2 linked regions of the Notamacropus eugenii genome follow. The protein of the gene in region 1 purifies or fractionates together with the protein of each later gene. This does not show direct contact. Links are inferred from orthologs where the notes say so. Each region holds a gene or a part of one and is shown in the gene's direction. Other genes may lie near its edges.

Region 1 (15,320 bases):
GCTGCATGCCCTTTCCCCACCGTTCAGCTTCCTCTTGTGCATTATCATCCTGGTTAGATTGTAAGCTGAGGACTGGACTGCAATTTTCGTATTGGTGCTCTCAGCTCTTAGCACCAACCTTGGCACATTGTAAGTGCTTAATAAATATTTGTTGGCTTCTGATAGTAGAACTATCACCTGGAATCCCTTGTCCCTGCATCTCAAATTCATAAAGCCCCATCATTCCCCATCTTTCTTTCCCGAGCTGTTGAAGACCTCCTAAAGTCGAACGGAGCTGGTCCGACTTGGCTATTTACCTCTCCAGGGGCCGGTGCAGCCGCTTCCAGCCGGGGTAGGCGGCCTTGGCCTCCGTGCCGCCCCCGGTTATTCGGGCCTGTTTGACCGCCTGGGCTGAGCGGGTGTCCAGTACTAAGCCCTGCCCTCCGCCCAGAGCCAGGGCCGCCTGCAGCAGCTCCTCGTCCTCCGCACAGCGTCGCCGATTGGCCCCCTGCAGGGGCTGGCTGGAGCGGAGCATTACCTTGGGGTGGCATGAGTGACTCGGTTTAGGGAGCGTGCCCTTAGGGCCCAGGAGTAAGGCTGCCCAGTCTACCCGGAGTGGAGGTCAGATAGGGCAACGGCAGGGTTGGAGTCCATCTCGGGACCTGGAGGGGCTGAAGGTGTGACTGGGAGAAGCCTAGGCTCAGCGCGGGTGGGTGAAGCAGGGATTCCACGTGGGATTGGGGGCGTGGGTCGGGTGTCTGGGCGGAGCCCGGGGAGGAACCGAGTGGGGACAAGGTTGGGCTAGTTAGGACCGGGTGATGAGCAGAGTTTGGGGCTGGGAGCAGAGCGGGGGTCCGGGAGCGATTTCCACACTCACTGTTCCCTTGTTACTGTGATAGTAGCAGAGCACAGGGAAGCGGCCACCTTGCCGGAAGCGGGCGCTTCGTGCCAGGACCTCGTCCCCTATCTCGCGGGGCACCACCAAGACTGGCGGGTAGCTGGCACACACGGAGAAGTCCTTATTCACTGTGCTCAGGCGCCAGCCGTTTGTCTGGAGGAATGGGGTGGGGGAGGAGTCTCTTACAGGCTCACATCCCCAGAAGGCTCCCTCCCACCACAGCCAAGGGTACAAGCCCTTTCCCACAGCTTCCCTGAGTTCCTCCTGCAGCTGCCCTCAAACCCTCCATCACTGGCACCTACCTCCAGGGCCACCTGCTGATAGAAGTGGTCCGGGGGGTGCAGGTATTCAGCGTCTCCCAGTCTCAGGCTCTGGGGCCTGTAGAAGAATGGATAGGAAGTGGTGACAGATTCCAGCGAGGATAAGGCCTTGAGGAGAAAGGCAAAAAGCACTTCTGGGGATCCCAGGCTCGACATGCAAAACCTGTTTTTGCCCTTGCTGACGTTCTCATTCTTGCCATTCTCAGCCCTCCTCCCTCCACTTGGGCAGTGCCCGGGATGGATTTGCTGCCCGAATTCCTGCAAGCGCTACCTCACCTCGATGGAGCCGGCGATGTCCAGAGTCTGTTCCAAGCCTTCGATCTCCAGCTGCAGAACGTTCAGGTCCTTACATTTCAGGGTGATGGTGCCCGAGTTTCCTGCCACCCTGCGGAGGGGGGGGGGGCAGGAGTCAGTGGGCTAAATGAACACTTATGAACGGCTTAGTATAGGACTCTGGGGTCAATGGAGGATCACGAGGTGGGGGAGCTAGTATGGGAGCAAGAGTGTCAAGACACGGAGGGCAGTATTGAACACTGGACAAGTAGGACAAGCGGAATCAGTAAGGGAGGGGTACGCAGGAGTCAGTGGGGAAAGAGATCTTAGAGGTCTTTTGAGGAAGGAGACACTGCAGGGTTCATTGAAGGGACACAGGAATCGGTGGGTTAGTGAGGGGAGAAGGGGAAAAGGAGACATGAGAGATCAGTGGAAGAGAGGAAAGACGCATAAGAGTATGGCCAAGAGTTCAGCTCTCCTTGGATGGAGAACTGAGACCTGGCGAGCCATGTGTGCCTTCCCAGCCAACATTGAACACGTCGGCTCTCTGGCTGGCTAGCGGCTGGTCGGGCCCACGTAAGTCCCAGCTAAGCAGTTCGCGATCTTCCGGGGATACGCCTCAGTGAGGCTAGCCTCTCCTCCCTCAGGAGGCGCGCGCGCACACACACACAGACACACAGACACACACAGACACACACACACATACACACACAGACACACAGACACACACGCGCGTCCCCTCCACTCCGCACCCCCCTCTCTTGATCCTGGTAGCCCTCTCCTCTCCCCTGCGCCCAGCTAGGAAGCTGCACGGTCTCGAATCCCTCTCACCGCTTTTCCACAGCATCCACGTTGCGCAGCAGCAGCCACAGGTCGCTAGGGCTTCCGTGCCCGGCAGACAGCAGCAGGTGGTGGCTGGTGATACACAGGGTGCCCCGCACCGGCGTCTGCCCAGGACTGGACAGAAGGAGCGCCTCCGCCCGACCAGTACGGATCAGCTCCGAGAACTCCATCCTGGAAGCCCAGGGCTCGGGGGTTCTGTGGGTGCAGGGGGTCGCAAAAGAGAAGGGCGGAGCCCCAAGGCTTTATAGCCCCAGGGCACAGGCAGTCCTCTCCACCCAGTGGGAGGACCGGGGCGGGAACCAGAGGATCCGGACGGATGGGGGGGGAACAGGAACTGTCCCCAGAACGGATGAAATTTGCAAGATGAGGCTGGTTAAGGTGGCCCCATGAGAGAAGGATTCAAGATTTTTTGAGATCTAGGGGGCTTGAGGTGCTCAGGTTCGCCACTGTCCTCTTGGTGGAGGGCGAGGACAATTCGAGCTTGGAGCCTCATTGGGAATTCAGATGTTCTCGAACCCAATGCACCCATCCTATCCACTCTCAAACAGAGATCTCACCTCGGCCTTGCTCTGTGAAATAATCTGCCAGGGAACTGTAATTCATTCTCCTCCATTCCCTAGTTACATCAGTCCTCTGGCCTTGTAATCAGAAGCCTGGGTCAGAAGTCCTGCCACTAATTTTTAAATTAATGCATTTTTGGTATTTCTTGTGCTTACATCACAATCATTTCCAGATACATGCCTCTCCCTCCACCCTCAGTGTACCTTCCCTTATAACGAAGAAATGCAGTTAAGCCAAAATCATATTCTTTACCGTGACAAACAGTGTTTATTTTGCCCATCTTTCCAAGGAAAGGGAGGAGAGGGAGAAATGTATTTCCCCTTTCCTTCACATAACCCTTTCTAAGGGGTCTTTTCCTTTACATTCAGAGTCAGTGTATATGATCTTTCTCCAGCTTTACTTAACTTCCCTTTGTATCCGTTCATACATGCCTTCTCATGTTTCTTTTATTTCCTATTCCTTGTTTCTTACAGGGAGATGATGTTCTGTTACATTCATATACCACAATTTGTTCAATCATCCCCCAATCAGTGGGCACATCCAGTTTGTTTGTTTTATCACTAGCTGGTCCTAGGTTCTCAGGCAAGTCCCCTCCTCTCTCTGCTCCTCAAGCTGGTCTCTAAGGTCCTTCCCAAGACTTAAATTTAGTCCTCTCTGTTGGGTGCCCTCAAGGCCACCTTAAATGACTACTGTATCCATCAGCTTCTCTGGTGGTCATCGGTTCAGGAGCGCCCCCTGGAGGCAGTTGGCTCTTCACTTGAGGGTCCTGGTCCTTGGTGCTTAGGGTACCACAGGGGAGCCCATTTCGATACCTCTCCAAGAGCTTGCCAAGGTTCAATGCCTATCTCCTCCCAGAATTACATCTTAGATACCTACTCTGAGTATTCCAACCCAGCTAGCATCTCCCACTGCCTCCCTCCATGATGGACCCCATACATTTATTTCCTCCCTCCCAGCTTGGACCCCATAGCCTTCACAGCCTTCTGTCCTTCTCTAGACTAGGAACTCACATTCTACCTCCATCAAATCTGGGCTACTATCTCTGTGACCCCCAGCCAGGTATCCCACACTCTCTACTCCCTCATTGGGATCCAACATTCTGCCACCCTCCAGGCTGGGACTCCTCATTCTGCCCCCTGATTTAGCTTGGGACTCCACACTCTGCCCTAGCATCAAGTTGAGTTTTAGAGATGTCTCCCTCAGTGGCACCCGCTCAATTTGGTTGGGAGAGGTGGGAAGAGAAGTAGATAGATGCCAAAGGGCAAAGCCAATGTCCCCAGTGGCTCCCTGGCCCTGTAGAAGTTTCCTTTCAGAGAGAAGGGTGTCTCCTTTTGGGCAGAGACAATTAAATTTGACCCTGAGGCCAGAGAAACTGAGATCCTGCTTCCCCTCCCCCAACGCCCCATCCCTTTCCTCTGGGGGTCACGTGAGTTCCCATTATTACAGGATTCCAGGGAAATAAGCCACACACTCAACCTTACACACTTACCTCCTACTTTGGGATACTTAACCATCTGTCCCCCTCAAAAGAGGGACAGACAAACACATCACACCTCTCTGGTCCCACCAGAACAGCCATCACCATGTCTCTGGGGTCCCTGGCATTTGGGGCCCTGGGTGAGGAGGAGGAGACCCTGGACAACTTGAAGGCACTCACTGCCAAATTAAATCTACAGACCAGAAGGCCCTCATACCTCGAGTGGACAGCCAGGGTCCAAAGCCAAGCCTGGCACCGAGATCAGGCCAGGGCTGAACTGCGGGAACCAGAATCTGGAGCCATTTGTGGTTTTCACACTCTGGATGACGCCTTGCAGTGGCTAAGAGAGGAGCTGGTAAGTCTACGGTGTGGGATAGAGAAGAGTAGTTCACTGTCAGGGAGCCCCCATCTAAGGGAGAGACACACAAAGGGAAGCCCCAGCTGAGGAGGAGAATGTAACCTTGCCCTTACAATTTCAGGATTTGGGGGCAGACGCCCTTTTGGGACAGGTAGCATGGGGCAATGTATGTGAAAAATATTGTCTTCTGAGCTAGAGACCTCATTCAAATCTCTTCCCCTGACTGTGGAACCTTGGGCAAATCATTTCACCACCCTGGGCCTCAGTTTCCTTACCTGTCAAGTGAGGGACTGGATGATCTCTAAGTATCTCTTCCCTCTCTTGGTCTATGATCCAAAGTTCCCTATGGACTTAGGGGAGGCTGAAGTCTGGGGTGCAGTGGAGGTAAGGAGAGAGAAGGCCTTGTCCTCAGTCATGCAATATTCAATAAAAGAGTGGGGCTCCCCTTCCCCTAGGCTGATTCCTTGTACATAGTAGATGCTTGATAAATCTTTGTTGACAGACAGAGATGAGTCCCTGAGTCTATTCAAGAGGCTGGGAAATAGCTCTGTTAGTTGGAAGACTTGGGTCCCAGTCCCAACCACTCCCCTCCCCTGACGGTGGAGAGGAAGTACTTTATAAATCCTCCAAGGCCATAGGATAGGAGTTATTATTATCTTTCCTGGAAGAGGAGGAAGAGGAGAGGAGAGGGTAGTGCTGGGCTTGAGAGGAAGGAGGAGCCAGGAAGGGCTGAGCTGGACTGAGAGGATCAGGGTCATAGAATGTTGGCGTTTCAAGTTGCCTAGGCACAGGATAGAGACACCTCTGCCCACAGCCCAAAATAAAGGGCAGGAAGCCAGGGCCCTGAATCCCCAGCCTCAATCATTTCCCCCCAGAGGCAGATGCGAGCCCAGGACCGGGAGCTGGCAGGGCAGCTGTTGCGCCTCAGGTCCCGAATGCACCAGCTAAAGGTGGAACAGATCTGCAGGCAGCACCAGGAGCTGTTGGATGATGCTGAACTGGAGGCAGAAGCTGAGTGTCTAGGCTTTGGAGAGGCAGCGGAGCTCCTGAGCCCAGGCTCTCTCCGGCCCACTCGCCTCCTGGCGCCCCCACTCAGGGACATCGGCCTCACCCGGATGAACATCAGTGCTCGTCGGTTCACCCTCTGCTGAGCAGGCAGGCCCTGCTGCACACAGCTGAGCATCCTTTGCTCTCCCACAGGGGTGTCCCACCCTAAACCTTGGTGCTCTGCTACCCCTGATCTGAGGGATGCAGTCACCCAGGGCACAGAGGGACCATAACTCACTGCCTATAGAGAGGGAGAGAGCTGTTCAGCCTTCCCAGAGTCAGCTCTCCAGCTACCTAGATCAGGAGTGGGGAACCTGCCTCTAGGTCCTTAGGTGTGGCCCTTTAACTGAATCCAAACTTCACAGGACAAATCCCCTTAATAAAAAGATTTGTTTGGTAAAACTTGGACTCAGTCAAAGGGCCGCACCTAAGGACCTAGAGGGCCACATGTAACCTCAAGTCCTCAGGTTCCCCATCCCTGACCTAGATAAAGGAGTGCTCTCAGGGCTTGTAGTAGGAACACTCACACTTTCTCAGGCTTTCCAGCAAACAGACTCCCTGGTGTGATCTAGTGCTCCATGTCACTGCAGGAAAGATCGAGGACACCAGGTGTGCATGTTTTTGAGGGAGGAAAACATGTCTCTGACCCAGAAGTCCTCAACTCTTCTCTTTCATTTAGCTCTGTGTCTGTTCTTTCTCCTGTCATCTGGTTTTTGGCTTTTTTTCCTGTGTGTGTGTGGCTGTCTGTTTCTTGGTCTCTGTTTCTCAGTGTATTTCCATCTCTGTCTCTCTTTCTGTCTCTGTCTCTGTCTCTCTCCTCCCTCCCCCTCTCTCTCCCTCTTCTCTCCTTCTCTCCTCTCTCTTTTTTGTCTCCTCTTCCTCCTCTCTCTCCTTTCTGTCACTCTCTCTTCTATCTCTTAAACCTCTTCTTTCCCCCCTCTTTCTCTTTTCTCTCTCTTCTCTTTCTCCTCTTTCTTCCCTTCCCTTCTCTCTCTCCCTCCTTTCCTCTCTCCCTCCCTCCCTCCTTCTCTCTCTCTCCCTCCCTCCCTCCCTCTCTCTCTCTCTTTCCCCCTCTCTCTCCCTCCCTCCCTCTCTCTCTCTCCCTCTCTCTCCCTCCCTCTCTTTCTCCCTCTCCCTCTCCCTCTCCCTCTCCCTCTCTCTTTCCCTCTCTCCCTCTCTCCCTCCCTCCCTCCCTCCCTCTCTCTCTCTTTCTCTCTCTCTCTCTCTCTCTCTCTCTCTCTGTCCCTCTGTAACTTTTGTTTCTGCTGTTCACATCTCTTTGTCTTACTTTCTGTCTTTGGCTTCCTTTCCCTCCCCCATTTCCTGCCCTCCTCACCCGCCTCAGTTGAGGTGAGCAGAACCAGCATCAATTTCCACCTTTCAAACCCCAACAATACGTCTGCGGCATCCTCTTCTGCTGTCCCCATCCCCCTCCCCTTTCCTCACAGCTTGGCTCAAGGTGAAGGGGTGGGAGCTGTTTGTGTCGCAGGAATGGGTCACTCTAGTTTGGTTCAACCATGGCAGGGTTCACTGGGTCTAGCTGGGGCACAGTCATCAGACTGTCCATCTCTGCCCCTTAAGGAGCTGGTGTATGAGTTTGGATACCCATCTTCTGTTGGCAGTGAACCTAGATGGACATCTTTCCCACAGCATTGCTAGGGTCCACTTGGTGTCACCAAAATAAAATGTTGAAAGGTCCTTAGGGACCATCTAGTCTGAAGGAAGTAGGGTGAGACAGTGGAAAATATGTGGATTTTGGAATCAGAGGACCTGGGTTCAAATCCTCGCTCTGCCACTGACTACTTGGACAATCTGAGACAATTCCTCTGGCTCTGTTAGATTGTAAATTCCCTGGAGGCGGTGCTGTCTTTTGTTTCTTTTTATATCCGCAAGGTTTAGCATACTATCTGGCACGTGGTAGGTGCTTAATAAATCTTTATTGACTGACTTGTTGACCGTTTCCTCATCTTTTTAAAACAAATGGTTTGAATTAGATGACCCATGTCATCTTTCGTCTCTAAATTTCTGATTTCTATTTCCTTTATCTTGCAAAAATGGAAAAGGAAACTCTGAGACAAGATCACACATCAAGCCAATGGCAAATTGGTCTATGTGGAGGAGGGGGTGGGGATGGAGGGGGAGATTACTCCCCTTTGTGAGTCCTCCCTCACCCCCCACCTCTTCAGCCCATGGGCTCCCATGGCGTCTTCTTCACAGAACCCCAGACTTTTCATTCTGAAAAGATCCTTAGGAATCATCTTAGCCTGTGGTCACCAGACTACCATGGGATGGATACATGACCACATTTCCCAGGGGGAGGGAAGAAGGGGTACATGAACTTGGATGGGAAAGAACCATCTTTATTTTTTACTACCCTCTAAGTGGAATTTATCATTTCCTTCAATGATGATTAAAAATGCAAATTCTGAGAATTTCCATAGGTTTTATCAGTCTTCCAAAGAGGTCCATGACACAAAAAATGCTAAGAAGCCCTGATCTAATCCAATCAGCTTATTTTATAGAAGACAGCCCCAGAGAGGGGACAAGACTTACCCAAAGTCACACAGCTAACAAGTAATAGAGATAGGGAGGTATTCTGGGTCCTCTGACTCCGAATCCAGGGCAATTTCTACTTCACCATCAAATGCTCTCTATGGTGTGTCCCCCTCTTTCCCCACCCACGGATACTAGGAATTCCCTGGGACCCTCTGTGACCACAGCTCCCTACTATCAGGCCCCTGGATGTTGGGAGGGGTGTGGTTGGCACTGTTGTTCTTGGCTTGTGGTTGAGGGAGGGCCTGACTGGGGTTCTGGGGTTGGCTGCCGCCTTCTTTCTCACTCATTCTCTCAAGAGGAGGCAGGAAGTTGGGGTTGGACGTGGGCTGGGTGCTGAGAAGGCAAATTGAGGCAGCGACAAGGAGCTGGGAGCCTCATCCATCCTCTGGGTGGTGATGGGGCCTCTGAACAAGAAGGACCATGTGAACCAGGCTCAGTGAACATATCAGGCAGGTAAGGAAAGAGTGCACGGGGCTTACGGGAGCTTCCAAAGGGAAAGGTCAGCAGCCCCTAAGGTGAGGGCAAGAAAGACCAGAGAAGGTCTTAAGAGAATTTCAGACTTCTGTCTATCTGGTCATTGAGGAAAGCTAGTTTAATAAGACCTGTGACATTAATTGATGGGCACCCTGACAAGCTCTGTGGGTGTCACAGTATCACTTTGCCATGGGGCACACGGGCATTGGCCCTATGGACAGGCCCCACAGTGACTCTACCCTAATCCCACAGATTCCCAACTTGTCTCTGAGGACCCCCCTGACCTTGATACCACCCCATGGGCACTCCAACAATAGTCACACAGTCACTGTGATGCAACCCTTGGACATCCTGATGCCAGCTCCATACATAGATGCCCTGGGGGCAAAGGTTACCTCCTCAAAGAATGGTTTGGGGAAGTCCCTGAATATTGACTGGGTAGCAGGGGAGATGGATTTGGAGACAGAGGAGCTGGGTTCAAACCAAACAGGGACGTTGTCACAAGAGTGACCAGGAGCCAACTGCTGGAGGGAAGAGAACCAGAAAGGTTCTTATTGTATCTAGTGTCTTGGGAGGGGAGTAGATAATAAGGTGGAACCTAAAATGACCCCTTGTCTGGATCGGGTGAGACTAGATGCGAAGAGTCCTTTGGGAATTCCCCAAGTGCCTTATTAATGAATATTTGTAGGCTCCTAGAACTTGGTGACCGTCTAGTCTAGTTCAGACTGATTCTCATTTGGTAGAATCTAAGACCCAGAAAAGAGCAAGGAGTTGCCACATGGCTAATTAGTGGCAAAGATGAGGTTACAACCCAGGCCTCCTCATTTTGTCCAATGCACTTCTCCCAATGTGGTAAAGGGAGAGAGGATTTAGATAAGTTGGATTCAAGTTTTGCCTCTGACATTCATTTCCTTGTCTCTTAACTCTTCTGGGCTCCAGTTTCCTTAGTTGTAAAATGAGGGATTTGTGTCAGAAGGCCCCTAAGCTCTCTTAGTTCTCGATTCATCATCCCGGAGGCAAGAGGAAACCAGAGCTTTATTTTCTTGGGTCATTTGGATGAATGGAGGAAAATTCCATCAGGAAGCTTAAGGACTTGATGGGGTCAGAATTCTGTAGGAAAGAGAACCAGGCACTCCAGTGACTTTTGCTGCCAGAGTTCTCTGTGAGAGGGAAAGGTTTATCCGAGCTTCCTGGATGCTCATGTCAAGGAAGATTTCTGACGTGGGATTGAGATTCTTCATGAAAAGACGGCCCCAAAGGGCCAGGCAAAGGAAGGGAGGAAAGGAAGGAAGAAAAGCTATTTTAAATTGGTGTGGGGAAAGGATGAGGGGCATGATTGGCAGTGGGAGCTTGACCCTGGAGTTCCTATGGAAAGTTTCCTTCTCCACTGGATGCTGGCTAAGGAAGTCTTGGGACCAAACCTCCTAGGGCCTCAGAGATTTAAAGTTATCTGATCTCATCTGGGCCTTACAAGCTGTGTGCAATCCTTTTGATTTTCTATCACCTTCTCTTAGTGGCCTTTCGAAACCTTCCTCCTTCCTCAACCTTTTTACCCCACCAAGGACAGTCTTAGCAGAAGCCACAGCCTGCTACCTTACTGAGAGTTTCATCATCTCTCTCCCCTGGGTGAGGCCTAACTTCAGAGAGGCTTGCTGTCTAGACCAGTTGAACATTGGCCCCACACCCATGATCATCATCTGTCTCCTAAGTCAAACCAAGAGAGAACTCTGGACAGGTCAGGAGACGTGGGTTCAAGTCTGTGGTATAGAGGAAAGAGTATGAATCTGGAGTCAGAGGACCTGAGTTCAAATTCCCAATGTGCCACTAACTGCCTCGGATGAATCACTCCTCATCTCTGGAGCTCAGTTTCCTTTTTTGTAAAATGAGGGAGGTTAGACCCAATGACCTCAGGGTTCTTTCCAGTACTAAAAACTAATCTGTGATCTGTGTTCCTAAGCCTCACCTCTGTGACTACTCTGATCATCTTTGAACAATTCCCCCACCCTTTCCTAAGGCTGTTGTGATGGAAAAAAACCAAACACCTTCCAAGTCTTGAAGAAGCAAGATGAAACTTCAGGGGATAGAGGGCAACAATTTGGGGTGCAGGGGGAAGCCCCCTCTCTTACCCATTCTTCTGAAGTGCCACCTGCCTTGGGGCGCTCCCTGCCTACTCTCCACCCCCACTGGAGTTTTCTTCAAAACACAATTTCCACAGAGATATAATATAACTTGGGGACCTGGAAACCTGGGTCTGAGTTCTGCTTCAGACCTTTAGTAGTCATCCAAACATCGCTCCTCTGGGAGCCAGGCTGAATTTCTTCACTGATAAAATGGAGATGAGAGTGCTGGCATAAGAAAGCAGTCACAGAGATGATGCCTCATAAACCACAGAAATATGGAAGGGACAGTAGTTTAATGGTGCCATTACTATCGCCAATAGTATTCCTCTCCCAAGTTGGGGATAGGGGCAAAAATGACCTTGTACGGAATTTTTTGAAGTAATGTATCTGTTCATGTGTGTTTGACATGGGCCTCTCTGGGGATCCATGATGGGGAGAGCAGCAGACTTGGAGGAACAGGGCCTGGCACCCAATCCAAGCTCAGCTGTCTTTAGTTTCTGGGAATCTTTAGGCAAAACCCTCCCCTTTTTAAGGGCTCATTTTCCTTATCTGTAAAATAAGGAAGTTGGACAAGGGCACCGTTAATTTCCCTCCTCACTCTAAGTCTAGTAGTTGATGGTCCTGTAATATTCTATGTTCTAAGATTTCTTCTGTCTCTGAGACAGTGGATTCTAAAGCCCCTCTCAGCCATCAGTAAGTCAGTCAACAAACATTTACTAAGTACCTACCATGTGCCAGGCACTGTGCTAAGTGCTGGGGCTACAAAGGAAAGCAGAGGGTCAGCCAAGTGATCAGAGTGCTGGCCCTGGAGTCAGAAGGACCTGATTTCACATCTGGCCTCAGACACTTACTAGTAGCATGACCCTGAGCAAGTCACTTAACCCTGATTGCCTTTCAAAACAACAACAAACAAAGAAAGAACAAAGAAAGGAAAAACAAAATTCCTGCTTTCAGAGAGTCATAGTTTATTCTGGGAGACAAGATGCAAATAACTCTGTACGAACAGGCTACATATAGGATACAGAGGAGATAATTAGCAGAGAGAAAGCCCTGGCATTAAGAAGGATTAGGAAAAGCTTCCTGCAGAAGGTAGGATGTCATCTACTACTTGAAGGAAGCCAGGAGGTGGAGATGAGGAGACAGCCAGAGAAATGCCTGGAGTCTGGGTGTACTAAGGACTTTCCAGATTTTGCTTTCTCTGTTCTAGGTTCTGACATTCTATGTACTATGAATCCTATCAGATGGGGCAGGGGGCAAGGTGAGTCTTTAGTGATAGGGGTAGGGATTGGGGAGAAGAGCCTTCCAACTGTCATCCTCAGTGTATTGAAGAGACTAAGTTGGGGGGCAGTGGAACTTGGTTCTGTTGGGACCTCAGGCAAGACAGGGCAGGACAGGGCAGGACAGGGTCACAGACTTTCCTCCCTACCTGACTGAAGTCCACCATCCCAGCTACATTCCTTAGGGTTGGTGGTACCTTCCTTGGGCCTGAGTCCCCTGGAAAGGTGGGAGAACCAGGTCTCTGGGTGTTAGAGCAGCATGAAACACGGCTCTCAGAGAAGGTAGATGGAACAGGAGTAGGACCCTGATGCAGAGGGAAGACTCTGCCCCCCATCTCCACCCCCACTAAGAGCAGGGCTTCTCTTCTCCCTCCCCCTTCACATGTGCTGCTACTAGAGGCCTTGCTTTGCACCTGAAGCTGCTTCCTGTGTATATTCTCTGAGAACACTCAACATCAGACTGGGAACCCTCCAAGATGAAAGCAGCTGAAGGCAAAGGGTTCGAAGTGCCAGCAGCTCTCACCTAAGGGCATTCTTTTTACAAAGGAGCACACACCTCAGAGTCACACACTCTCCTTCCCAAGCACAGGCACATGGACTTACAAATATGTAATTGCTATATGCGTAACACGTAATTACCCATGTGTAACAACCATGCACAATCCAGATACCTCTAGTTACACATACTCATACATCTATATGTAGTCATAGACTCCATGTATGGTTCTCACACACATACAAACACAGACATGTAGCATTGTGTGCTACACAATGTGCACACATGTGCTACACAATGTAGCACACATGTGCTACATCATACATGCAAACTACTACAGAGACACATAGAATTGGAACCACATTACATAGACTCAAGGAATTTCTATTCTGACATCGGTTGAACTAGACAGTCCTGGGGTCTTTCCCAACTTGAAGATTCTAAGAAAATAAACACATTACACATTCATCCCCACTAACAGAGTTCTACCCATATGTAGGTAGACACAGACTTAACATGTTTGCGCATACACAGATGCACATAAAGATATGCATGAAGTCAAATATGCCGTGTGACATTATACATAGAAATACGCTCTCATCTGCATCACCACTCCCCTCCTCCCCCGCATGCACAAAGATGTCACCCAACTACTCATACAAATGTCCCTATACATGCCCACAGCCACATGTGTACATGCATCATGAATCATATGGCAATAACAGCGAGGTCTAACGCTCCAACAAAACTTTAAAACCTTTCACCTTGTTGTTCATCCTTCTCACTCAGACTGTGAGCTCCTCCTGTCTTTTGCCTTCTTCTGTATCCTCAGTGCTTAGTACAGTTCCTGGCATGTAGTAGGCGCTTAATAAATGTTGATTGAGGAATGGATTGACTTTGATCCTCACTACATCCTGTGAGGCACTTAGTACAAATATTTTCACCATCTCACAGATAAGGAAATTCAGGCTCAAAGGTGAGTCACTTAAGATCCCAAAGCAAGTCAGCTGCAGATCTGGGACTGAGGGCTGTGTCTACCTCTCTCCTAAGCACATATATACACTATCTCCATTGTACAATTATGCAGCAACATGGGTATGCTCACATACAGCATAACACATCACACGGAGGCAAGTCAGCTTTGGGCATGAGTGATTTCCTATGTTCCACCAAGGTCATGGTTCCAGAACGGCCCTTAACTTTTAGTCAGTTGCTGAGATGTTTCCCCAGATAGCTCTGTCCCACCACCATGCAAGGATCCACCTTGTGATCAGAGCTTGAACCTAGTTTCCTCCACTCACTCAGGTCCTTAGTAGCAGGTCAGGTCAGAAGCATTAGAAACCTCAGGGTGCTTAAAAGAATTTTTATGAAATTCCAGCAATTTACATGAAATCTGAGTGGCTGTCAAGGACATAAACTATAGGTGTTCAGTTTAGTTTTTTAAAAAATTCAGCTTGTCATGACTGAACATAAATATGGGGCTTTTCAGGTGCAAAGGGGCAGATAGGTAGCACAGTTGTAAGGATAAAAAGCTGAGCCTGAAGTTAGGAAGACCTGAGTTCAAATTTGGCCTTGGATATTTAATTGCTCTGTGACCCTGGGTAAATCACCCTGTTTGCCTCAATTTCCTCATCTGTAAAATAAGCTGGAGAAGGAAATGACAACCCACTCCAGTATCTTTGTCCAGAATTGACCCAAATGGGTTCACGAACTGAATAACAAACTTTAGGTATAAATGTTCCCCATTGTTCCAGGCTCTATCTTTTATACCTAGTCTTAGGGTGGAGCCCTAGATATTTGCTCCCTGGATTTTGCTCCCATATCCTAGGATTCCCATGTTCTTAGACAACCTCAACCCAGATCCAGGACTTAAAGCTTTTTGGTTCCTCTTTAATCTTGCAGCAGCCTGAACTCCTCCAACTCAATCCAACCCTTTCTCCAGATCTTTGCAAAGGCCAGACTCCAGCCCCTCCTGTTGTTGGCTCAGTCTCCCTTTCCTTCCCCTGGCATTTTAGTGGGTTGCAGATACAAGCTCAGGTTTTATTAGATGGCTTAAGTAGAGTAGTGTATAGAGTACTGGACCTGGAGCCAGGAAGACCTGAGTTCAAATCCACCCTCAAACATTTACTAGCTATATGGCCTTAGGCAAGTCACTTAACTTCTCTCAGCCCCAGTTTCCCCAGTTATAAAATGGAGGGTAACAACACCTACCTCCTACATTGTTGTGAGGTTCAAATGAGATATTTGTTTTGATAATATTTCATTTTTTTCCTAATTACCTGTAAAGACAATTTTTAATATTCATTTAAAAATAATTTGAGTTTCATCTACATCTAGAGAAAGAACTATGGAGTCTGAATGCAGATCGAAGCATATGATTTTCTCTCTCTTTTTTCATTGTCGTGGTTTTTCCCTTTTATTCTGATTCTTCTTTTACAACATGACTAATGTGGAAGCATGTTTAATATGACTGTACATGTATAGCCTATATCAGATTGCTTCCTATCTTGAGGAAAGGGAAGGGGAGAGAGGGAGGGAGAAAAAATTTTGGAACTCAAAATCTTGTAAAAGTGAATGTTGAAAGCTATCTTTATATGTAATTGGAAAAAAATAAAATACTATTAAGTAGGGAAAAAAATTT
Region 2 (15,686 bases), on another chromosome or scaffold:
GGTGTTTAATAAATGTTTACTGACTCACTGAAATGATGAGGTTAAAACAGATGCCCTCTCAGTCTCTTCCAGTCCCAATATCTATGATTCTGTGTGGTTGCATGTAGAAAGCATATGTATATGTGTAGAAGAGAGCAAATGTAGGACAATATGTTCTTGTAGCTTGTGAATAGAAAAAAAATCTATGCCAGCATTTGCCAAGTCTGTTTGGACAAAGAAGACATTGACACTTCATGTACATTGCTATTTTCCATAAATGGAGGTACCCTTTGGAATCTCACTGCTTATTGAGGAGGGGCACAGTTATGTGTGATAAGTATTGGGGGTGTGTAATGGCTAGAATCAGGAAGACCTGGGCTCACATTCTGCTTCTGGCATATATTCGCTCTGTGACCATGGTCACCTCCCCAATCTCTGTACCTTAGTCTACCCAGTCTAAAGACCATGCACAGAGAATTGCCAATGTGCATCACTGGAGAGAATTTCTAAGTAAATAACTGGAATAAATAAAATCATTAACTTTTTTTTAAAAGCGCACGCACACACACACAGAGTAATATTCAGGACTCTTTCCAAATGAGCATAGCTCTCTGCCCCAAAGCTTTGTGGGGGATGTAGTCCAGAAATCTATGCTCCCCAGGGGCCCCTTATAAATGATTTTATATTCAATTTTGCTGAGTCTTGGAGGTCAGCTAGTCCAACCCATGCCTGCAAGAATGCCCCCTCAGCATCCTAGACAAGTGATCTTCCAGTCTTTTCTTGAAGAGGAAAATAAAGCTAGCAGTAAAATATTCTTGCAGTGTATGAATTCTCATGGAATGATACAATCTCATTTTAGGGAACACATTTTGGGAAATGAAGATCCCAGAGGACAGTGTATTCAAGGCTGCCTTTGCATCCCCATGTGCTCATGTATAGGTCTGCATGCAGAGAGGAATAATACATAAGACAGCATAACGTAAGATCTCTTTGTACTTATCTCCCTCTTCATCCTCCCAAGAAGTGACAGCAAGACATATATGGCCAATGTGGGCATTTGTTTTGCTTAACTATGAATATTTTAGGGTGGGAAATTATTTTTATTTTTTTCAACTAACATGCATTTAAAATTAACTCTCTATTCCACTGTTCCTTTCCACCCATTGAGGACATTTTAAAATACATAATAAAGTTCTCAGTATGTAGTTGCATAGTCTGGCAAAACATATTCCCACATTAGAAATGTCCAAAAATGTGTGCTTCATCATCAGCTCCCCATATTACCACATCAGTGATGAGTGGCATATTTCATCCTCCTTCTTTTGAACTCATGACTTATTGCATTGGGTCAGAGTTTTAGAGTCTTTCAAAGCTGTTTTTCTCTAGAATGTTGTTACAATTCTATAAGTTGTTCTAGTTCATTCTTCACTCTGAATCATTTCATAGAGGTTTGCCCAAGTTCCTCTGAAATTATCGGTTTCATTATTTTTTTATGGCACAATAATATTCCATTATGTCCATATACTACAATTTGTTTAGTCATTCCTCAATAAGAGAACACTCCCTTAGTTTCCACTTTCTGGCTACCACTAAAAGATAAATATAGACAAATAGACAGACAGACAGACAGACAGACAGATAGATAGATCCTTTTCCTCTTTCTTTGCTTTTTTTGGATTACAGACCCACTAGTGATATTACACCTATTCATATCTAATACTAGGGCTTGGTTTTTTTTTCCTTTGGGCAGGGAGGATGGTGGTGAGGATGAGGGGAAGGGGGAAAAGTAGATTTTTGTTCATTGAAAAAATTAGATTTAATTTTTTTTATTTCACCCTCCTAATTCTTTGTGGTTGAAGTAGGAGTTTCCCTTGTCCCTAATGTTATTGACTACTAACTTCAACACATGAAGGAAGAAAGAGAATATATAGGGAAGAAAAGAGAGGAGGAGGGGTGGAGGAAGAGCAGAGAGGGGGACAAGATTCTCTTTCTAGTCAGGTCTCTATCATAAGCTTACTTTCAAAGGTCTCAATGGGGAATTTGTGTGTTCGTCCTTCATTGCCGAAGAAGACTATGCCATCAGAGATATGAAGACATGACTTGCACTTAACTTTGTTTTGAGTGAGGGAGGGCTGTGCAGGTCACCAGCCTCACTTCTCTGAATCCAGTGACCAGATATTCATCAGGATGACTGGAGATGACTGAGGATAAGACAATTGAGGTTAAGCGACTTGCCCAAGGTCACACAGCTAGTGAGTATCAAGTGTCTGAGGTGAGATTTGAACTCAGGTCCTCCTGACTCCTGCACTGGTGCTCTATCTACTGCACCACCTAGCTATCCATGGGGAATTTAGTCACAGAAGGAAAAGGTAAATGGAAATTATAGTCTTTCAGGATTGGAAAGGTCCCTAGAGACCAACCACCCCATTTGGGTTAAATTACTTAGTCAAAATCACAATGCTAGCAACTGGGGGTGCCATGACTTAAACTCACATCCCTTGATCCCCACCTCATCGTCATACAGATTCAGAGGGTTCCTGTGTTGTTTAGGGTCTGAGAGACTGCAAAAGTTGTTTCCACAGTGAGTTGTTAATTGAAGTCATTGAGAACGTTAGATAATAAGAAGGCCAGCAAACTGCAGGTGGACTCAACCAATCAAAAGACAGACAGTGGACTTCAGAAAATTACAAAGTTTTTGATAAAGGAAACAAATCTACAGCTAGCTGGCACTAGTCAAGAAAAATTATCTAGAGTTACCTGGAGAAGGCTTTTCTTCACTGTGCTTGCTTAATGAACTTCATGCATATAAGCAGACACACCCTGCATAAAACTGTCCTTCCATTTTCTGATCATGGGTCCTATGTTACAGCATGTTTGGCAGGGGGAATCATACTAAGGGGAATTACATAATGGGCATGTAGAGAAGATGGTGACCTAATGGAGGATGGACCAATCCATCTCCTGGTGGGAGGCTCTGTTTTGGAGTAACAGTATATAGCTCTTCTGGCTTCTGTATCCAGTACTCCCTCCACCTGAAAAGAGGGTAGGGGCACGCTTTGGCCAAAGTTCAATTCCTCTGAATTCTGCTGCAATAAATTTTCCTTGATTCCTTATTGAAATCAAGCATGTTTCTAACAAGAGTTAGCCTAGAGAATGGTAGGAAGAGATGTCTCTTTCAGGAAAGGGCTTCAGGTCCTTTGAGGAAAAGGGGAACTTTCAAGCCTCCTCTCTGAATGTCTCACCTTCTCACTATGAAAACTACAAAGTGAGGGAGGAAAATCAAAATGATATGCAAGATTTGGGATGAGGAAGGAGAATGTCACTAAGGGAAGGACAATAGGAGAAAAAGATCTTTGTCTCTTCATCTATAAAGGGACTAGATGAGCTCTTAAGTTTCTTTCTCGCTCTAAAAACCTATGAGTAAGGCTTCTTCACGATGCAGTGAGTTTCAAGCAAAAGGCTGAACTTTAAAGCACTTGAAAAGGCATGTAGTAGAGGTAGTCAGGTGGTATGCCAGAAATGCTTAATTTAATGACTTCTATTTGTGTTTTTTTAATGAGGGGTAAACAGCAGACTCTTGGTTTACTCTGACTAGCAAAACTATAGCCAGAATCATCTGATGACCCAGAAGCTTCCAGTCTCTCTAATTTACAAAATTGCTTCCAAGGCTGGAAGCAGCCATCTCAAGGTTGCTACTCAGTTACCTGTACTCAGGAAAGAAACAAAACTGAAGATGAAGGATCAGACTCACCTAGTCATGATAAGTGCCCTCTGCCATGTGTTTGCAAGAAACCATGGATGGGAGGAGGGTGGCTTCTCCCTTGCCACTCCAGGGAGAGATTCCTTTCTGACAATCAGCAGAAGGAAGGGAGAGAGTGGAGTTACTCCCTTCAAGATCTATTGAGGAGGCCAATCTTAGTGGCTTACTGGCTGGTGCTCTGACACAATTCAGATAATCTTCCATGCTTTCATATGCATGGGATCAAGGGACCACCCAGGATTTTCTGTGTCATTCCAAAGTGATAAGCACTTCAGTTCTGAGCCACATATTTCCCTGCTGAAGTGGCCACAGTACAGGTGCAGTACTCCATAAAGTGTACGTTAGCCAGAGCAAATCAAAGTGCCCAGTTGCTTACCCTCAATTACACTTGCTTCTCTCTTTTCACTGAATAGGAATGCCCATTACTGATGGTTCATGTATCAAATCTTGATTGAAGTACCAGAGAATATACTTGAATGGAAGTTTAAATACCTGCTGATACAAAGCCTCAAACAGGGAAACAGCAGGAAAGGGATGTCCCCGAGTCATGTGGTAGCCTGCTCATAAACATTGTCTCCAGCCCAGCCAGACAGCTCTGCTCAGGTTATTCAAGTTTCCCTCTCCTACCCCATTCCCCTAGCTCTAGTTCTTAACAAAGACCTTGGAGCCTTGCCTTAGATCCACCTCTGATAGGTCTCTCTCTACCTGATGATCTCATGTATTCCATTGTATCTTCAAGCTTTTCATTTCCAGTTTGTGACTTCAGATCCTGGGGTCCTATGAACCCCTGACTGTTCCCTCTGAATGCCATTTTCTTCCAGAAATTTCCATCCATTTCATCCCCTCTGGTTCCTTCTCCCATCCCTCCCACAAGCAAAGCTATTTGGTTTCTACTCCTCCTTTGTGGAGGCAATCAAATTGTGCAGTGAATAGTGCTGGACTTGAAGTAAGACCCAAGTTCAAATTTGACTTCAAACACCTGCTGTGTGACCCTGGACAAGTCTCTTAACTTCTACCAGTCAGCCTTAATTTCCTCATCTCTAAAATGGGGAATAATAATAAAAACCACTTCACAGGGCTATTGAGAAGATCAAATGAGATAACATATGTAAACATTTGCAAACCTTAAAACACCATATAAATGCTAGCCATTATAATTATGGAGGTGAGGGATGGCAGCAGGGTAGGGAACATGGTCCCTCTTCTACCTGATGCTCAAGCTTCTTTCTCTTATGTCTCACTCCCCACCCAACCTCCAAGTGGAAAAAGAAGGAGCCTACTCTGAGGATCTCACGTTTATTTTACATTGTAGGATTTAGAAAGCACTCTCCTCGTGTAACTCATGCCAGAATGCCCCATGGAATGGTCCTTTATTTGTCTTGGACTATCATTTGTTTCAGGGCTGTAGTAATGAAGGTTTGGGGACACATAAAGGAGAAGAGTGCAACATTTCTGGTGATTACCACATTTTCTTTATTCCTCCTTTCATAGGAGACTGCTAGCTTGTTCTTCCCAGGAGCCAGAAAATTTATGATCATGACAAGCAGAAGGTCATGCAAGAGGACAGGGAAGTGATAAAACCAATATGTTGCAAACTGAATGCCCTCTCTTCCTTCCCTTTCCCTATCCTAGCCCTGTTTGTCCTGAAGATTTGGGGAAGAGGAGTTTCCTTCTTGCCATTCTTGGGAAATGGAGGTATGTGACTGCTGCCAGGCTGGCTGGCACCAATTGACTTTGGGGAATCCAGACTGTTGGACCAGGGCAGGTGCTGAGGCTGTAGCCCAAAAGAGACTTCCATTCTACTTGTTCTTCTTGAGTGCCAGAGGGAAAAAGCCTGACTAGCTGCTGAGAATCCAACAGAGAGTGGAGATGCAAGCTTCCAGATGAGAATGAGGAAGAGGACCTTCTAGATTCTAAATTCCAGAGTGCCAGGGAAAGCCAGCTATTACAGAGCATGGAAGAGTGACCAGCAAGGATCAGGGAGATTAAACTTCCTAGATTGTACCACCTTTGACTTTCTATTTAAACACACAGCTCCTTCCCCTCGAAAGCATGGAAGGACCATTGGGAAAAGGTTTCAGTTTGGGAGGTGGTTGGGCAAAGCTTTCCATGAGAGAGGAATTCTGGACAGTTTCTATGCAGTCTTACTTAATGTTTAACAAACCACGTGGCTGCATTAAGTTGTCTTGCTTAAGCTGTAAGAGTGCAGTGGCTAGTCAACCAAGAACAGAATATTTCCCAGATACATGGTGAGGGTGCAGCAAGATATATACATTTCCATATTTTAACAATCTTGAGCCATATTTCATTAATATTATGCCCAGGTTACTTTGAATTGTGACCATTTAGGAATTTCTTCTTGTCCAGTTATTTGAAATAGTACGGATAACTGGGGGTAGTGCATACGCAGACTTTGGGCTCTTTAAAGACACAGACTCTTTAGTATAGCGCCACCTGCTGATTGGAAATTGTAAGGTATACTCCATTAGTAAACGATAGTGACCCATACCCAGCCTTTCTGTAGACATTTCGTTGTCGTTTTTTGTCCTTCGTTCTTGAGGAGTCTTAATTTGTGTGTGAATTAGATTTAAGTGAGGCAGACCTGCACAAAGTCATCGGCCTCATTCTCTCCTCGAGTCATCAAAGTCCAGTGGCAAGACAAAAGTCATGACAGGATGCAGTGGGTGACCACATGCAGTGTACCACAGCTGTGGACCTCCCACCAATGTAAAGGAACGGAGTGGGGCTGTCTTCTCATATCTCTTCTTTGGGGCTATAGTCATTAATGCTGTAATTCCCCAACATTTACTTTTGTTTTATGTATTTGTTCTTTATTGGGTCTATAGTTTCCTTGAATTTACTCTTTATTTGATCATGTAAATCTTTCCATCATTTCTGTATTCATTATATTCATTGTTATAGAACAGTAATATTCCATTACATTCGTGTGTCACTATTTGTTTAGGCATTCACTTTGTTTCCAGTTCTTTATCATTTCTATAGTCTTTCTGGTCTCCCAATTGTTTGTTTCTCCTTCAATTTTAAATATCTCCTCTTTTATGCTTATCTTAGTTTTGCTTATTATTTGTTGGCTTTCTAATTTTTAGAAAATACCCATTTAGTTCCTTAATCCTCTCCTTTTCTATTTTTTAATGTATGTTTCTATAGCAAGAGAGACACTCTATTAGTAAATGGTAAAGTGATAGACACTCTTTCTTTCTGTAAGCCTGATAAAGGCAGGACATGAGTCAGGTATGAATTCCCACTACTGCTGCAGTCCCTCAAGTCTCACTTGAGACCCCTCCCAAGGACATAGACCATGTCATTGTCACATAGTAGTCCTCCAGAGCAGGAGCATAGTTATTATTGACTTAGAAATGGAAGGTAACTTTCTGAATGCGCATATAGTCCACACTTCTCTTTTTACAAATGAAAAACTTCAAGCCAGAGAGCTAAGTGACTTACTCATATGGATGTCATGTAGCATAGCCAAGTTTTCTTACTTAAAATGATGTTCTTCCTACAACACCAGACCTCATTTATTATGAGGAAACAGGCTCAGAAGTCAAGGGGAAAGCTCCAGTTGACACACCTAGTAAATTTAGGGGGGTTGAACCCAGGTTTTCTGACTTCTGGTCCAAGGAGGTAAGAGTTTAGAGGAGAATTAGATCAGAACAGACTTTACCATCTTGATCCAACATCTGGCTTCCAGTACCTGGAGTCAGTATTCCAGTATTCCAGTCCCCCAGGGCCCCATGCATTCACCCCTGGTTTCGCCACTGTCTAAAGCCTATCCTACACCTTCCTGCTACACCATTGCCTCTCCTCCTTTTCCACATATCCTTAATGGGTCTGGAATGATCCTGAGTGTTGACCCCCAAAGATCCCTTCCAAGGATTTGAAAGCACTTTACAGACCTGATCTCATCGATCTTAGTCATATCCTGTCCTGAGTGAACAATAGGATTGAGAAGACAATAGGGGAACAAACCTTCGATGAGGTGGTAAGAGTAAAGAAGAAAAGAGAGCCTTCCACATTGTGAGGGATGGTGGTCTGACAATAGGGAGGATTTCTCAAGAACTAAAAGAGAAACATTCCCTGCCCCACCCCTCTCCTCCCACGCTTCTACCCCTCACCAACACACACACACACACACACACACACACACACACACACACACTTCCGGGGAGGAACATTGCTTTCCATGACGTGGGTCCCAGGGCCTGGGCTGTGGGTGAGGTACCATTTCCTGCCCCTGGGAGGGGGGTAGGGGAAGCAGAGGAGCTGAGAAGCACACACAGCCATACACCTGTTCTGGGTGGGGGGGAGGGGGCTCAGTCTCACAAAACCCCTTTCATGGAGATGCCCATAGATCAGATGCCTCCTCAAGGTAAGTGCCAGGTTTTTCCCTGCCTATCACCCTTCCTCTTTCCTCTTCATCCTCTGACTTCATCTACAACAGCCCGGTGACCTCTCTGGATGGCGGGTTAAAGGGTCCCCTTTCTCTGAACAGGAATCAGAAAGGAAATTGTGTGGGCTGGGTGGCAGAATATGTTCCCTTAGGAGTCCTCTTTCTCTCTTTCTGGTCTTCCATTGTTCTTTCCATTTCTATTCTTCAACAGAGGAATAATTAGATTTCTAAAGTCCTTTGAAATCTTTAGAGTAGAGAAGAGAGATTTGGTAGGAAACATAAAGACTCCTGGGAAATCAGGATTTAGAGTTGGAAAGAATGTTAGGGGTCAATTAGTATAAACCTTAAAATGAGGACTATATATTGGGAAGCCAAGGATATGCTAGTAGATATTTAATAATCAACTTTCGGGGGGAGACGCGCATAGGGTGGGGGAAAGAAATGTAGGAAAGATACACTTTTAAGTTTAATCTGCCTTATTGTCATCTTTTTCCATTACTTAAGCCTAGATAATCAACAAAGCATCAAACCCTAATTTGTAGCACTTGCAGATTTCCTGTGTGTAAATGCTCGAACTTAAAATTTAACAATCAGTGTTTGGAGAGCCCTTGTGAGCTGGTTCCAGCAGACCCTGGAAGTCACTTCCCTGTGGTCACACAGATTAAGTACGGAGCTGGGTTATAAATCATAAGCAGGGAATTGGACAAAAGGTTGAGGATAGAGGACAGAGACAAAGTGTTCTGAAATTGTCAGACATGTAAGAATGATCCATAAGAAGTGGATTAGAACTCAGGTGTCCTGCTTCTCAGAGAGTTGAATCCCAGAACCCTCAAGTTGACAGAATCCATTACAGAAAAGTCATGATGCTTTTCCCACTGTATTTCACCAAACCAGACTAAAAGGATACCTGTATTCCAGCTTATCCCTGCCTTTTCTCCTCAAACTCTCCTAATCATTCAGAACTCTTCCTTGCTGCTTAATCATCCCTCTTCAAACATCAACTCCCTCTCATACTATACCTTCTGTACCTTATCCCTCATTTTCTCATTCCCCTGGGAAGTACTTCCTGCTAGCATCATTTCTTCCCCTGCTCCCCATCAATATCCTCCATCATTCTTTTTGCAATATCAGTCTATTTCTGTTCTCAAAGAAATGCTGTGGCCTCTCTCCATCCCTGGGTGATTTGAGGAGAGGGGCTAGAGGCAATAGGAAAGTAAAATAGGATTACTGTTACATCCTATCCCCTTGGAAGAGAGCCCACAGCTCTGTTTGTACATGTAGGGGAATGGAAAGAACCTGCCCCAACTTTCAGTACTTTCCACCCAAAACATCCAACCCGGAAGAGCAGAAGAAGCATGGTACTGCCTACACTGCCTCAGGCATCGGAAGATGAGAGTGTCCCACCCAATCACACCAAGGTGAGTGGAGAGAGAAAAACTAGGAACCTCTGAGTCTGCATCCTTCACCTCACACACACACATACACCCAACCCTGTGGATACCAGGCCTATAAAGGAGCTTTATTTAATGAGACTTCCTAGAGGAAATGGATTTAAGAGGGTGAAAAGGAAAGCAGGAAAAGTGGGCACCTGAACTGATACTAAGAGAGCCAAAGAAGCAAGTCAGTTAGCCCCTTTCATCATCACTGTCCCTCTGTAACTCTTAATTATAGTTTCACAGGATTCAGAGTTGGAAAGGACCTTAGAGATCATCTGGTGTGATGTCTTCAGCTTACTGAGGCAGAGACTGAGTTCAGAGAGATTTTCATTGACCCAAGATCATGAAGGTAGTGAAAGAGACAAGATCCAGACCCAGGTCTTCCTGCTGTAATTCTGTGGTCTTTCTTCAACACCATACCATCTGGACTGAGCTTCCTACCCAGCTCCCATAATCCTTCCCTAGTCCAGTCTGATCCGCCATGATTTTTATGATGCTTCCAGAGATGATTCTCTTTCCTGCCATCTAACCTCAATCCCTTCCACTATATTAGTAGAACCTTTCTTTCTCTGACCTTTGGGGAAATGGAAACCCGTAGCATCCCCTTACTTGTCATCTCCTTTATTCCCTTGGTATATGGGTTAACCCAACTCTAAAAAGTCTTCTCGTTCTCTAACCTCCACCCTCGCCAAGACTGCAGAGCCATGTAGCTCAGAGGAAGATGGAAGGTGAAGCTGATCAGTTTCTAGGAAAGCTATATCAGAAGTGATTTCAATTTAGAAAGTGGTTAGCAGGGGAAAGTGTAACATAGGACCAGAATGTGCTCTACAGATGGGATACAAGCCCCTCTGGCTGTAGCATTTGCTCACAATCCAAATTTTCTTCCATCCAGGTTTCTCTCCAAGGCCAGGGGACTATCCCTATTCCAGGCAACACAAGGAAAGCTGAGGAAGTACCTGGGCTAGGGGGACCATCCCTTCAGGCTGAGACCAGGGCCTGGTTTCAGAAGACCCAGGCACCCTGGTTCTTTCATGATGGGGAAGCCCCAGTCTGGTTCCATGGTTTTATCACTCGTCGGTGAGGAGGATCAGATGGATAAAATTCAGTCTAGATCTCAGTTTCCCTTTTCTCAGCCATCCCCCTGTCCTCAAGATTTCACACTGTGTAACCATTTTCTCTCTGGGTCTCCATCCCTTTGCCAATGTACCTGTGTCATCCTCTATGTCCATTTCTTTAGTTTATTTCTGTATCTTTCCTTGTCTTTAATTCTCTGTTATATCTTTGTCACTCTTTTCTACATCTTATCTGTATTTCCCTCTTTCTCTTTTTCTACTTTTTTCTCTCTGAGTACATCCCTCCAATGTGACAGACCTAATTTGCTTTTTAGCCAAACCACCCTCTAAAATCCCAGCCCTCAATCCCCTTCCTGTCTCTCTTAGCTGTTTCGAGGAAGAAAAGTTCAGTTCTTTCTTCCCTAGTATGTCCTCCTCCCCATACACTAGCCCAAATAATTACCCCTTTACCTTGGGAAGGACCCACCATCCTGACCCCTCCAGGAACTTAGCAAGCGAGTCATTTATTCATTTTTTCCACTCATTCAACTAACGCCCCCTTTCTTCCTACTCCCCGGGGTTTCCTGCCATTTCAGCATCTTGCTAAGGAGGGGAACTGCATCCTGCCTCCTACCTCCTGCACCACCAATTGGAGGATGGTGTAGAGAGGAGAAGGAGACCATAAATCTAGTGGGACCACCACCGTGGGGGTAGGTGGGGGGGTCCAGGCATTCGAGAACCCGACCGTGTTTCCTTCCTTCAAACTCTCAGGGAGGCCGAGAGATTGCTGGAAAACAAACCCCCAGGCTGCTACTTGGTGCGGTTTAGCGAGAGCGCAGTGGCCTTTGTGCTGACTTACAGGTGAGGCTCAGGGTTTTGTTTTGGGTTTTTTGCAGATGAGCGAAGAGATCTAGGTTTCGTGTGAATGGGTGGGTTCATGCAGATTGTCCAGTGAGGGTGGGGCTTCATGCTGATTGACAGATGAATGAGTTGCTCTGGGGACAAGGGGAAAACAATTTCCTTGAGGCAGTAAGTCTGGAAAAAGGCGAAATGATGAAGGAAGAAGGAGAAAGGAGGAGAACAGAGAGAGGGCAGAGTGAAGCGGGAGGCCGGCAGGGAGCTGGGCTGGGCTGAAGGCTGAAGTGGTGGGGTGGCGGGACCTGACCCCATGTCTCTGCCCGGCTCTCTCCCGCAGGAGCCGCAGCTGCTACCGCCATTTCCTGCTGGCCCAACTGGAAGATGGGCGCCATGTGGTTCTAGGCGAGGACAGTGCCCACGAGCGGCTCCCAGACCTGCTGCGACACTATACTCAGCGTCCGCTCAGCCCCTACGGCGAGCACCTCACACAGCCCTGTATCCGCCAGGTACCTTCCCAACCCAGGCCAGACTGGGGATCGGCACCCGGCACCCGGCACCTGGGCTTTCTTAAGCAGAAAGGTTCACCTTTGGGGTGCCTCACTAGACTTTGAGACCCAACACACAGGCAGCAGATGATATAGAAGATGGAAACCCGAGCCCGGAGTTAGGAAAACCTGAGTTCTAATGTGACCTCAGCACTTGTTAGCTGCGTGACCCTGGGCAAGTCACTCAGGTAAAATGGGAATAAGAAGAGCCCCTTTCTTTCCAGGATGTTGTGAGGATCAAAAGATATCATTTGTAAAAAGCATTTAGCCTCATTCCTGGAACATGGTAGGGGCTATATAAATGCTTAGTTCTTCCTAATAATAAGAGAAGATCTTATTGTAGATCTTTATATCTACATGTAGATTTTTATGGTTTGCAAAGCACTTTACATATATCGAGTTTCATCTTCATAAAAACTTCAGGAGGTAGACACCATTTTTATCTTCATTATGGGAGCAGCTAGGTGGTGCAGTGGATAGAGCACCAGTGCAGAAGTCAGGACGACCTGAGTTCAAATTTCACCTCAGACACTTGACACTCATGTGACCTTGGGCAAGTCACTTAACCCCAATCTCCAGTCAATCCTGATGAATATCCGGTCACTGGATTCAGATGGCTCTGGAGGAGAAGTGAGGCTGGTGACCTGCACAGCCTTCCCTCACTCAAAACAAAGTCAAGTGCAAGTCACGTCATCATTTCTCTGATGGCATGGTCTTCTTTGACAAGGAAGAATGAACATATGTCTTCATTATGAGATGAGGAATCTGAAGAAGGTTAAGTAGCGTGGCAGATATCCCACAGCTAGTGAGTATTTGAGGCTGAATTTGAACTTGGCCTTTCCTAGCTCTAAGTCTACCCTCTTTACCAGTTAGCTGTTTTTAGAATATTTGAGCTGGTAGGGACTTCAAGAACAGCTCAGGCCACACCAGTCCTCTGCTCAACAGCTGTATTGTCTGGGTTATTAAACTGCTCAAATTTCAGGAAAGCATGGAGAGGCACAATCTATTATAGCACAGTTGAGGGGATTTGGAATTGGTTGGATGACCCAACAAAGGAGACATTACTGGGGTTACAGGAGGCAATTTGACGACCCAGTGGGTTGTGCTGGCTTGGAGTTAAGAGATTTGGGCAGGAAATGATGGGACAAGACTGCAGTCTTCAAGTATCTGAAGAGCTGTCTTAACAAAGAGTGAGGAGGCTTGTTCTGCTTGGTCCCAGAGCGCAGAGCCTGGAATAATGGGTGGAAATTGCTGAGGCAGATTTAAATTTGATGCAAGGAAAACTTCCTAACCATTAGAGGTGTTCAAAAATGGAATGGGCTGCCTCAGGACATCATCAATTTTCCATCACTGAATATCTTCTTCTAGAAGCTGGATGACCACTTGTCAGGGAGGCTGTAGAAGAGACCCTGGGTGACCTCTGAAGTCCCTCCCAAGCCTGGAGAGATTTCATGACTCTTTTATCCAGTCCCCTCATTTAATGGACCAAGAAACTGAGGCCCAGAGAGAGATGATGGGGCTCATTCAAGATCACACAACAAGTTTAGTGGGCACAGCTCGGACTAGAGCCACAGTCTGAATCCAGTGCTGTTACTGCATAGTTGTCTGTACTCTGGGAGCAGACTGTAATAATAATTGATAATAACAATGCCTAGCATTTATATAGTACTATAAGATTTGCAAAGCTCTTTACAGGTATTCTTTCATTTTTTATCCTCACAGCAGCCCTGGGAGGTGCTATTATTATCTACATTTTTATAGATGAGGAGACTGAGGCAGAGAGGCAAAGTGACTTACCTAGGGTTACACATCTAGGTCACTGAATTTCACATGGTCTGAGGTAGAGACACTGGAGAGCAGAGTTGAGGTCCTGGGGGAACAGAACTGGAGATATTTCTTCTAGTTTGGGCTAAGGAGTTTCGGATTCATTCTGACCAAAAGTGAAGGTGAAAGAATAGAGGCCATTGTTTTGGATAGTTCTCCCTGGTTACTGGGGCTGAGTCTCCTTGTTAGGATATCAAAACCAGATAGCAATAAAAATTTATTTTAAAAGAGAGCGAAATTGAAGAGGGAAAAAGAGGGAAGGATGAAGAAAGATCCAGAGAGAGAGACTGGAGAGACAGAAAGATGAGACTAGAGAGACACACGGAGAGAAAGAGACAGAGAGAGCAAAAAGATGAAAGAGAGCCAGAGAGGAGAAAGAGAGACTGCAGAGAGTATTGAGAAGCAAGGAGCTGAAGCTGCTTGAATCACTAGAAAGGAATTGTGAGAGAAGACTTGCTTATCATCCTCACAAACATGAAAGGACTCATGGAAAAAGATTCTAGATAGTTCTTTGGCTTTTCAGAGGACGGAGCAATAGGAGTGAGCTGCTGTACACAGGGAAACGTCTTGCTGTCAGTCATTTAAAAAAAAACAGAATTAGGTGGCCATGAGAAGATGTTGGAGTGTCTATATCTGGAGAGCTTCCAAAGGAGAGTAAATATTCATCTGCTCTGGGTGGTGGAGTGGGAGGCTGCGGAGGCTTTGTTCTAGTAAGGATCACCACTCCACTGGGGGGAAGAATCAATCAAAGATGATACAAGTTAAAAGCAATTTGACTTCGGGTGTTTTTTAAGAGGAAAATAAGATGTTTCATTTGTCTTTCTTTTCAGCTAAGGGAAAGGAACATAGAATTTATTCTGTTCTACAAATATGATAACTATTAAAGATATACTTTAGTTCTATATTGTGGCCAGCTAAAGGAGAATGAAGGGGAGAGGGGGAAGAAAAGAGGAGGATCAAAGGGTAGAGTAGAGGGAGCTGGAGAGTAAGATATACCTGGAGACATCCATATGTCCTTGCTGGTGCCCCTGAATTCTAGCACCTTCCTTCTGAGATTAGGTCCAGTTTATCCTGTATATATTTTTGTTTGTATATAGTTATTTGCATGTTGTTTCCCCGTTAGATTGTGAGGTCCTTGAGAGCAGACACTAATTTTGACTGGCATATAGCAGGTACTTAATAAATGCTTGTTGTCTTGACATTCCTTGACAGAAGCTAGAAGCATATAGGGACAAACACTGAAAATGAGACTGAAGGAAACAGGGAAACATACACACATACACACACTGTATTCTTCAGCCCTGGTATTCAGCCAAAGGCCTTCCCTGAGGACCTAAGAAGTCAAGGGAGTCTACTCTGATGAGTTATTGCCTTCCTCCTTCCTCCCCATCTATCCAGCTGTCCCAGATTCTCTCCTCTCCTGATCTGCTCGATGGTGATTGGGCCCTTCTGTCGCTGAACTCTCTCCTTTTTCCACAGACCCCTGCTCCAGCTGGTATCTCCATGCAGATAGAACACTCAGAATCCAGGAGTGAGGGCAGAAGTGGAGCTTCCCAGTACTGTGCAGTCCACAAACAGGAACAAACCCTGAGTCCTGTGAACAAGGACAGTCTTGGACCTAGGGAGCCAGAGGAGGTATTAAAAGTGGATGGGGCTATCAGATGAATCTGTTCCTGCCTCCCCCTCCCACCCTTACCAACAACCTAGGGGAAGGGGGAGGTAACAGAGGTAGCAGGAGGGAGGAGCACTTAAAACCAGATTGGGATGCGGTGGATATGTTGAGATGGAAATTAGGGAGGCAAATGTAGGGGAAAGGAAGAG

What was found.
Region 2: the proteins of LCK (region 1) and SH2D2A purify together in Homo sapiens (co-immunoprecipitation; 3 studies listed by IntAct, with this or other methods). This does not show direct contact. The link is inferred for Notamacropus eugenii from reciprocal best matches to the Homo sapiens genes LCK and SH2D2A.

The regions. Positions count from the first base shown.
Region 1 is NC_092876.1:77,609,145-77,624,464, reverse strand, and holds the start of LCK (tyrosine-protein kinase Lck), read left to right. Parts: upstream 1-8,610; 5' UTR 8,611-8,765; intron 8,766-15,320. Other genes in the region: myotubularin-related protein 9-like, read right to left, coding at 297-517, 857-1,030, 1,180-1,305, 1,474-1,582, 2,302-2,483; protein FAM167B, read left to right, coding at 4,458-4,706, 5,585-5,860. UniProt on the Homo sapiens protein: Non-receptor tyrosine-protein kinase that plays an essential role in the selection and maturation of developing T-cells in the thymus and in the function of mature T-cells. Plays a key role in T-cell antigen receptor (TCR)-linked signal transduction pathways.
Region 2 is NC_092873.1:381,046,335-381,062,020, reverse strand, and holds the start of SH2D2A (SH2 domain-containing protein 2A), read left to right. Parts: upstream 1-8,030; 5' UTR 8,031-8,095; coding exon 8,096-8,129; intron 8,130-9,431; coding exon 9,432-9,568; intron 9,569-10,478; coding exon 10,479-10,663; intron 10,664-11,409; coding exon 11,410-11,499; intron 11,500-11,833; coding exon 11,834-12,002; intron 12,003-15,344; coding exon 15,345-15,500; intron 15,501-15,686. UniProt on the Homo sapiens protein: Could be a T-cell-specific adapter protein involved in the control of T-cell activation. May play a role in the CD4-p56-LCK-dependent signal transduction pathway. Could also play an important role in normal and pathological angiogenesis.